Nothobranchius furzeri: one gene and its partner. The protein of the gene in region 1 purifies or fractionates together with the protein of each later gene. This does not show direct contact. Links are inferred from orthologs where the notes say so. Each region holds a gene or a part of one and is shown in the gene's direction. Other genes may lie near its edges.

Evidence for each region.
Region 2: the proteins of otud6b (region 1) and otub1b fractionate together in Homo sapiens (co-fractionation; 4 studies listed by BioGRID and IntAct, with this or other methods). This does not show direct contact. The link is inferred for Nothobranchius furzeri from reciprocal best matches to the Homo sapiens genes OTUD6B and OTUB1.

The regions. Positions count from the first base shown.
Region 1 is NC_091759.1:19,537,372-19,541,973, reverse strand, and holds the start of otud6b (deubiquitinase OTUD6B), read left to right. Parts: upstream 1-1,638; 5' UTR 1,639-1,787; coding exon 1,788-1,854; intron 1,855-2,432; coding exon 2,433-2,581; intron 2,582-2,656; coding exon 2,657-2,755; intron 2,756-2,863; coding exon 2,864-3,064; intron 3,065-3,725; coding exon 3,726-3,846; intron 3,847-3,955; coding exon 3,956-4,017; intron 4,018-4,102; coding exon 4,103-4,209; intron 4,210-4,602.
Region 2 is NC_091743.1:88,837,832-88,842,199, reverse strand, and holds the start of otub1b (ubiquitin thioesterase OTUB1b), read left to right. Parts: upstream 1-1,358; 5' UTR 1,359-1,587; coding exon 1,588-1,630; intron 1,631-4,034; coding exon 4,035-4,096; intron 4,097-4,368. UniProt on the Homo sapiens protein: Hydrolase that can specifically remove 'Lys-48'-linked conjugated ubiquitin from proteins and plays an important regulatory role at the level of protein turnover by preventing degradation.

The DNA.
Region 1 (4,602 bases):
GCAAAAAGGACAAAAGAGTAATTTTTAAAAGATTCAAAATACTTAAAGCTTGAAAAATGAGATTATTGCATATACAAATTTAGAAACACATTTATATTGGTAACATTTCTAAACAACTAATATATTTTGTTGCTTGCAATTTTATTTTTATTTTTAAGTTTGTATTCTGTACCAAAGCTCTAATTGTTAGAAAGGAAAGAACGAAAACATTTTATGTAGTTTTCATGATAAAAATCACGAGGCGCTTCACAAAAACAAACCCAAATAAATTAAAGTTTAAAAGAGATTTCAAAAAATGATCAAAAAATGAGAAAAATTAAACTTGTGATTTATAAAAATGTAAGAAAAGGGAGAGAGGCAAATCAGTGGATCCCGGGAAAGGCGGAATAAGAGCAGAATAAGGAAAGTGTGGTGATGAAGATCACACCGAAGCCTGAACAGGTGAGTCTTCAGCGGTCTTTTAAAGGAGACCACTGAGTCCACTGATCTCAGGCTCGGGGGGTAGAGGTCCAGAGTCTGGGGGCCACAGCAGCAGATGATTTTTCACCTTTGGTCTTTAGCCTGGTGCTGCACAACCAGTAGGCTTTGATCACTGGACCTCAGGGACCTGCTGGGGGTGTAGGGACTGAGAAGATCGTCAATGTAGGATGGTGCTTGTCCATGTAAGGCCCTATAGACCAGAACCAGGATCTTGAAATGAACCCTGAAGCTGACTGGCAGCCAGTGAAGCTGGAGGAGAAGCGGGGTGATGTGGGTGTGTTTGGAGGACTTGGTCAGAAGCCGAGCACAGGCGTTCTGAACCACCTGTAGACGGTTCAGGGAGGTTCTGCTCAGACACGTGAAAAGAGAGTTACAGTAGTCTAAGCGTGAGGAGATGAAGGTGTGGAGAACTGTCTCAAGTTCAGAGCGGGACAGAATGGGACTCAGCTTAGCAACGTTCCTGAGATGGAAGAAGGAAGAGCGAACAAGAGAACTGACATGAGAATCCAGGGTGAGAGCTGGGTCAAAGGTCACACCAAGATTCCTGGGAGATGGTTTGGTGTGAGAAGCAAGCTGACCAAGAGAGTCTCTGACTTTGGGAACCAGCTTGTCTGGGGCACAGATGCAGATCTCAGTCTTATCTTCATTCAGCTGAAGAAAGCTCCCACCATCCAGGTTTTGATAGTCTAAGCAGGTGTGTAACAGCTGCAGCTTAGACATCTCATTGGGCTTAAAGGAGATGTACAGTTGGATGTCATCTGCGAAAAGATGGTGGGAGAGTCCTTTAAAGGAGCTCAGTACAGAACCTTGTGGGACACCATGGGCGAGGAAGGTAGAGGAGGACCTAAACTTGGAGACGGCCACAGAGAAGGAACGTTCAGCCAGATGAGTGCTTTGTCCTCTGTACATCATAGTGGAAAAAACACTTAGCTTTCATAACTTTTATGTATTCAAAATATTTAACTGCACAATATTGGAGTGTTGAGGACAACAAATAATTAATAAAAATGTGGAATGTTTTATTTTATGTCCACAGAAAAGCATTGTTTCAAGGAGAAATTGCAGCATTCACGGGCTTATACAGAAACACTCCACCGGGTGGCGCTGTCGCCTTTAGCTTTAAACAAGCAAAGAAGAACTCTTCTTCTACTAGTTTATTTACTTTTCATCTCCCTGAAGGCTATCGCATGTTTTTATACATTCTGCGCTTGTTTTGAGCCTGAAATTTGAGGATTTTACAAAAGTGACGCACATTTTTATTTATGCAGTTTATGAAAATTAACTGAAGCGCGTGAACAACCAAAGTTATGGAGGGGGAGGCACCGGAGGAGCTCCTGATGAAGCAGCACCGCAAAGAGAAGAAGGACCTCCAAGGTTAGCAACGTTTACCTGCTTTTAATCTGAGTTTACCTCATTTACATCCTCTGTCCGGAGCATTTAGCCCTCCACGAGCGCGCGTCACCAATTAGACCAGTTGATATTTAGACTTGGATAGCGGAATAACAATAAAAGTAACACACATAACCAAAAATCAGCTAGAAAAGTAAAAATTATGCTAATCGTAATTAGGAAAAGAAAACTACGAAATAAATGCTGAAAACTGAAATGATCACTTTGCAAAATAAACAAAAAAAAAGACAAAAACGCATTTATAATCAAATGGTCAATTATTTTAAACGATGATATAATTAACACGTGCTTAGAAAATGCAAGTAGATCTGCCCAGCAGGAAGACGAACAAAAGGACTCAAATTTACCATATCTTGAGATGTTTTAATGATTCATTCACACAGATTTGCAACTGCAGGCATGTACCAATGTTTTTATTTGATAATTTTGCTGTTTATTGACACCGATCTGATTTTAATCTGCACCTTCCTCTTTGACAACGTTGCATATCTAACCGTGTGTGTCGTTTTCTCACGCTTCACATGTTTGTGTTTTGTTTTCAGCTAAAATCCAGAGTATGAAGAATGCGGTGCCCAAAAACGACAAGAAGAGAAGGAAGCAGCTGACCGAGGAGATCGGGAAACTGGAAGCCGACCTGAATCGGAAACACGAGGAGGAAATCAGGCAGCTCAGATCTACAGCTGACTCGAAGGTGATCGCTGCAGCGGGATAGAAAATGTGCCTTTACTCTGACTGAGTTTCAGACTTCTTCTAACAATCCTGTCAGGTGGAGGAGGTGGCAAACGGGGTGGAGACCATGAAGGTGGAAGGTGGAGGAGAGGAAGAGGTGAAGCAGCCGCGAGTCACTAAAGCTCAGAAACGGAGGGTGAGAAGTCTAATTCACTAGAAACTTTCCATTTTTGATATGTAAAAGTGGCATTTAGTGGATTAAATAGCGATTATTATCGGTTGTTGTTTTGTTGATGCCTTCCAGGACAAGAAGTCTGCCCAGGAGAAGGAACGCGAGAGCAGGATAGCAGAGGCAGAGGTGGAGAACCTGCAGGGCATGAGGCACCAGGAGGGATTGAAACTGGCTCAAAAATTGGCCCAAAAAAAGCTTCAGATCAAGGAGATTTCCTCCGACGGTCACTGCATGTACCGCGCCATCGAAGATCAGCGGGCTCGCCACGCTCAGGTGACCATCTGCACCAATTTTGTTTCAACCCTGCTTCAACACACCTGATTTCAGTCAGCAGGTGATTAGCAGGCTTCTGCAGAGCCTGATGAGCTGCTGCACAGGTGACTCAACCACTGAATCAGAAATGTTGGCGCAAAGACATGCAGGATACCTGACAGTCATGTTTTTGCACCGTGGGAGGAAGCCGGAGTACCCGGAGAGAGCCCACGCATGCACAGGGAGAACACGCAACCCCAGGTTGGGGTGTGAACCCATGCCCTCCTTCTCAGCTCTAACCACTGCACCACTGTGCAGCCCCGTTTGCACAAATACTGTCTGGAATTGCGACAGAGAGAAAACTTTATGTACGGGGCAGCAGTAGCTCAGGTGGTAGAGTGGGTTGCCTCGTGATGGTTCGATTCCAGCTCCCGCCAGGGGTATTCTGCTGCTGTGTCCTTGGGCAAGACACTTCACAGACCTTGCCTGTGTTAGTGGTGGTCAGAGGGGCCGACGGCGTCAAATGGCAGCCTCGCCTCTGTCAGACATCCCCAGGTCGGCTGTGGCTACAAAGTAGCTTACCATCACTGGCAGTGTGTGAAAGCGTCTTCGAGTGTCCTGAAAAGCGCTTTGTAAGTTCAACACATTATTATTTAGTTTGTGTTTCCCTCCTCTGGTTTAGTCAGGATTGAGCATGACGGTGAAGGAGCTCCGTTCCAGAACAGCTGAGCATATGAGGGAGAATGTCGACGACTTCCTGCCGTTCCTCACTAATCCCGACACCGGTGACGTGCTTACAGCAGGTCAGATCAAATCTGTCGTTACTGGTGTGTGTGTGTGTGTGTGTGAGTGTGTGTGTGTGTGTGTGTGTGTGTGTGTGCACGTTTACTTTTGGATTCTCTTTGCATTCAGATGAGTTTGAGAAGTACTGCAGTGACGTGGAGCACACCGCTGCTTGGGGTGGGCAGCTGGAGGTGAGTTTCTCTGTTGTTTTTTTTATTTGTTTACTGTTTTTTTTCTCTCCCTTCATTCTTAATAATTAGATTTTTCTCTCTTCAGCTTCGAGCTCTGACCCAGGTTCTACACTCACCAATAGAAGTGATCCAGTCTGACTCCCCGACTATAAGGATCGGGGAAGAATTTGACGGAGAACTCATCACTCTGATGTAGGATTGTTTAGAAAGTGTCAATCCACTATTCTTTTACTTCGTATCTAAAGAACAAACACGTTTTATTGCAGAAATTCGCTGCAAGTTTTGAGTCTACAAATATAATCTTTTATGCAAAAGCTCTGCGATAATCTTTTCTAACCTGCTAACGGTGGCGACACATTCCAGCAGCGAGTTTGTCCGCCGGCTACGTTTGAAACGTGATAGCATCTTGGCTATCACACCGGTTGTACAGCAGGTGCTGACAGACACGTTTTCAACATAAATACATTCAGCTCCTGTCACCTCTCTGACTCTCGTAATGAATAGGGAGGAGCCGAAACGAGTATCCGGTACGGATCAAGCATTTTTAACGAATATGAGCATGAAACGAGTAAAACTCGTAAATAT
Region 2 (4,368 bases), on another chromosome or scaffold:
CAGCCATTCAGTTCAACTTCATGCATTTAATCAGAGGTGCCATTACTGGATTTTTGGTAGGTCTGATCTATTATTGTGGTGTGCTGTGTCACAGCCTGGTGGCGTGTGTTTTTATTGCCCCGTGTCGTTAGCCAGATGGAAGAAGTTTGAAGAGATGGTTAGCAGGGTGGGTTGAGTCCTTTAGGATGTTTGTGGTTTTTCGAAGGCAGCGAGAGGTGAAGATGTCATCCAGGGCAGGCAGGTGTGTTATTTTCTCTAGTTTTGATTAATCTCTGCAGGGCCTTCCTGTCAGCTGCAGAGCTGCTGCTGTACCACACCAGGATGCTGTTAATCAGCACACTCAGTGATTAACAGCAGCAGTGATGAAATGACACCAGTACTTTTTATGGCAGGTTGGTCTTCCTGAGGGCCCTCAGGAAGTATAGCCGTTTTTGTGCCTTCTTTATCAGACAGTTGGTGTTGTGTGTCCATGTGAGGTCCTCTGATTTGTTTGTGCCCAGGAACATGAACTGTGAGATCCTCTTCACACACTCTCCATTTATTGTGAGTCACTGGTGCTCCACCTTTTTTCCGTCTTGGGTCAATGATGCTTTCTTTGGTTATGTTGGTGTTCAGGGTCAGGTTGTTAGCTGTACACCAGTCCTCCAGCTGCTGCACTTCTTCCCTGCATGCTGACTCATTTCCATGGCTGTGTGTGTAGATGAGTGAGGACATTAATAAGGATGTTTCATGTCTCGTACAACTTCTGCTCCTGTTGGGGAAGTTTCACATACATAAAAGGCAATGGTAAATTTCACAAAGAACTAATTACATACATCACTACAATTAGTACTCTTGAAAATAAAAAAAGCTATTAAAACTATGTGCATTATGGACAAACTTAATATGACATTTGATTAATATGCTCTCTGGTTTTTTGTATTCTTTTTGTCATTCTTTCTGTGTTATTCTTGTGTTTTACCATAATTTTATAGATACTTTGTATCTTGTTCCATGTTTAGCTTGTATTGAAATATCTTGAACATTAATTTTTTTTTAAAATAATAATAAAATTAAAAAACTGGGTAATTGATTCAATTGCACAATTTCACAGATAATTTATATATTTTTCTCAGATATTTTCTGTTGGGTTGAAGGAGAATGGCAAAACAAAACCCGACCAGAAAGGCTACAATAACGGATAAAGCATCTTTGGTCATAGGGGACGTGCTCTTGGCTGACTTCTACTCTTAAGTCTTAAAACATGATTTTTAAACAATGTTTGTGCATCATAATACAGAGAAACATAAACCTTTCCATTTGTACTTTATTTAATATGAAAAACCTTGTGGTAAACCTGTGGGACGCAAAGAACACCAAATTCAGAGAATCACCCTTTTGTATATTTCAAACAATCATTTTTCAGGCAACACTTTACCAACTTTAACAACAATAACGGTCTTTCTGCTTTATTCACGAAAACCGACGCCCTCGTTGCTTTACTCGACTGTTGATCGAATAATTGGATTTTATTTGTTGTGTTTTCCGCTCGGAAGTGTGTAACGTCTGAGGTCACGAGGGAGGAGGAAGCAGATCTGCACAGCTAAGATGGCGGAGGAACAGCAGGAATCATCACAGGGAGAGGTGGAAGGTAACGAAATGATTTGAACCATCCAATATTCTCTCACCTGCGCTGTCATTTCCCTGTCAGGTGAAGCCCACGTTTATGTTAGTCCGCAGCCCGCTTTAATCCACCCCTCTCCGAGTTTAAGGTGGCTGACATTCCACCTTAAGGGCCAGAACTGCTTAGCTAACGCTAGCAAGCAGCCGCTGCAACACAAAGAAAAACGACGGTTGTTAAGTGATTAACAGAGAAATAAAACATGACAGTTACGCGGTTTTATACTTAAATTAATATCAGATGTATGAGCTCAGTGTTAAGGCAGAATATATAAGCTTAATTTATCTTTGGAGAACAGTGACGTTTTTTTGCGTTCAAAATACGTTTTGTTTTCGATGCTAGCCAAGATTAGCTGCGGTGTTCTGGACTGGATCAACTTGTATTCATGTTCTTTCATGGTCACTGGGGTAGAAGAATTTCTCAATCTAAGAAAATGAAGTTCTTAATTCCCCCTTTCATTGCTTCATTAACTCAGCTATCGGTTTTCAGAGAATTTGTTCCAGAATGACGAAACTATGCGTCGTTTCAAACATCAGATTCATTGTCGTGTGTACCAGAGACAATGTCACATATTACAATTGATTTAACATGTCGTGCATTGTCCTGATACCTGAGACATGGTCTGTGTGGACTCATGAAAGTGACAGAGTTGTAGTCGAGTGTAAAACTTTATAAAACAGAACACAATAAAATTGGATGTTATACCAATTTAATGAATCAGGTGCAACTTTGTGTCTCTAACTGAATAATCATTAATCAGCATTAGTTAAAAAAGACTGTGTGCATTGCGGGTTCAGATTCATTTATAATAAAAGTAACTTAGTGATAGGATAATATATTGGGTCAATATTTACAATTTTTTTATATTAGCTTTGGCCGATAAATTTCTTCAGTAGAGCCGATTTAATTTAATTAATTATATATATATATATATATATATATATATATATATATATATATATCACACAGTTTATAAAACTACAAGAAGCACCATCACACAAGTTGTCCAGAGACACTACAATATAAAAATACACACTGTTGTATGATATTGGAGTTTGCTTTAGTTCATTTGTAGTTTATAATACATTTGGTCCCTTTGTGAAGTTTGTTACTGTTATGGCAGCGAGACCACGTTAGAATGAACCCAGTCCTGAAATAGTTGCACGGTCAAATGTTAAGGGGAAATCTTCTGGTTCTGTAACCAGTTTAAACCTGTCTAACCTTTTCATCAAACACAAATTTTAATATTTTTTTTAGTTTAACAAGTTTAGTAACACTGAAAGGGTTTGTTTCTCTTTATTATTACACATATTTGATCTGTTGTGCAAACCCAGTCAGTTGGTTCCTATAAAACATTTTTTAAATAGAAACTTACATTAAAGGGGCATTATGGAAGTGTGACAGTCAAAACATGTATAGAAATAATAAATGTCTTCTTCATACATTCTCCTGCAATGCCCTGGTCCTGTAGAATGAGCCCTGGCATTTTTACTGTGATTGCCTGTTTTTCTGTAAAATCACAGAAAAAGAGAGATGCTCGGGTCGAGCAGGCTGCTTCATGCGCGTTCACGCTCAGGCATCGCCCTCCGAACCGTTCTTTGAACGTTGTTTCAGCTGTCATCAAGGATATAAATGTTACAGACGCAGTAGACACCACTGGCGATTTAGCTCGCCTAGCAAATTTTTGGACTTTTGTGCAGAAGACCCGGTTCGATTCTCGACGTGAACATGGTTGTTTCAGAATTTCGTTTTTACAATGATATATTTTTTTACAGTAAAATGCCCAAATTTTTATCTGAGACTCGCCGAACGGCATTGAATTCACAGATGAAAAAAGATGTGGGTTCAACTTTCATTTTGGAACAATTTTTCAAGTAAAGGAATGGAATGATCTGAGCATGCAGGAGGACTGACCTTTGTTGGCTGTGCTGAAGAGAAAAGTACAGAACCAAATTATTTAATTAATTAGCTGCACGTTCTCCTGTCCTCCGACACACACACACACACACACACACACACAGCTTCACAGAGCTTCGTCTCAGCTGTTATTTTCGTTAAGGAGTGTGCACGTACAGCATGCGCACCTCGTACACGAGCCTACTATTGAAGCTGCCATTACGCTTTTGGCCAGAGGGGGCAATCACGAGCATAAAAATTCAAAACTCCCTAAAGTCCCTTTAACTACAAATATCCACAACAAACAAGTAAAGCATGGCTAACTGTTACCTTCTTGTGTTTAATAACAACAAAATGAATAAATCATGGTTTTGATGTTACAGGGGTGAAATGTGTCATCCACATCCCATAAGAAATGTCTTTGTTTCACCAATACAGAGCGGTTATTTAAAACCTTACACATATGTGTTTTTCCCAGGAGTGAACTGCCTTGCATATGATGAGGCCATCATTGCTCAACAGGACAGGATTCAGCAGGAGGTCAGGCACCTTTTCTCTTTTTGGCAAGGTCACATCTCATTGTACAACTGATACAGAGGTCAGAGGACCCAGACCAAAAGCAGCAAAGATTGTTATTTATGAGCATTTTTCATTCAAGGCAACTTGAGCTGAAATATAATGTTAATAATTAATATAAAACTTGACTTTTCCAGAGAGACCTGAATAAAATCAACTTTGTATTTTCTGACACACACACACACACACACACACACACACACACACACACACACACACACACACACACACACACA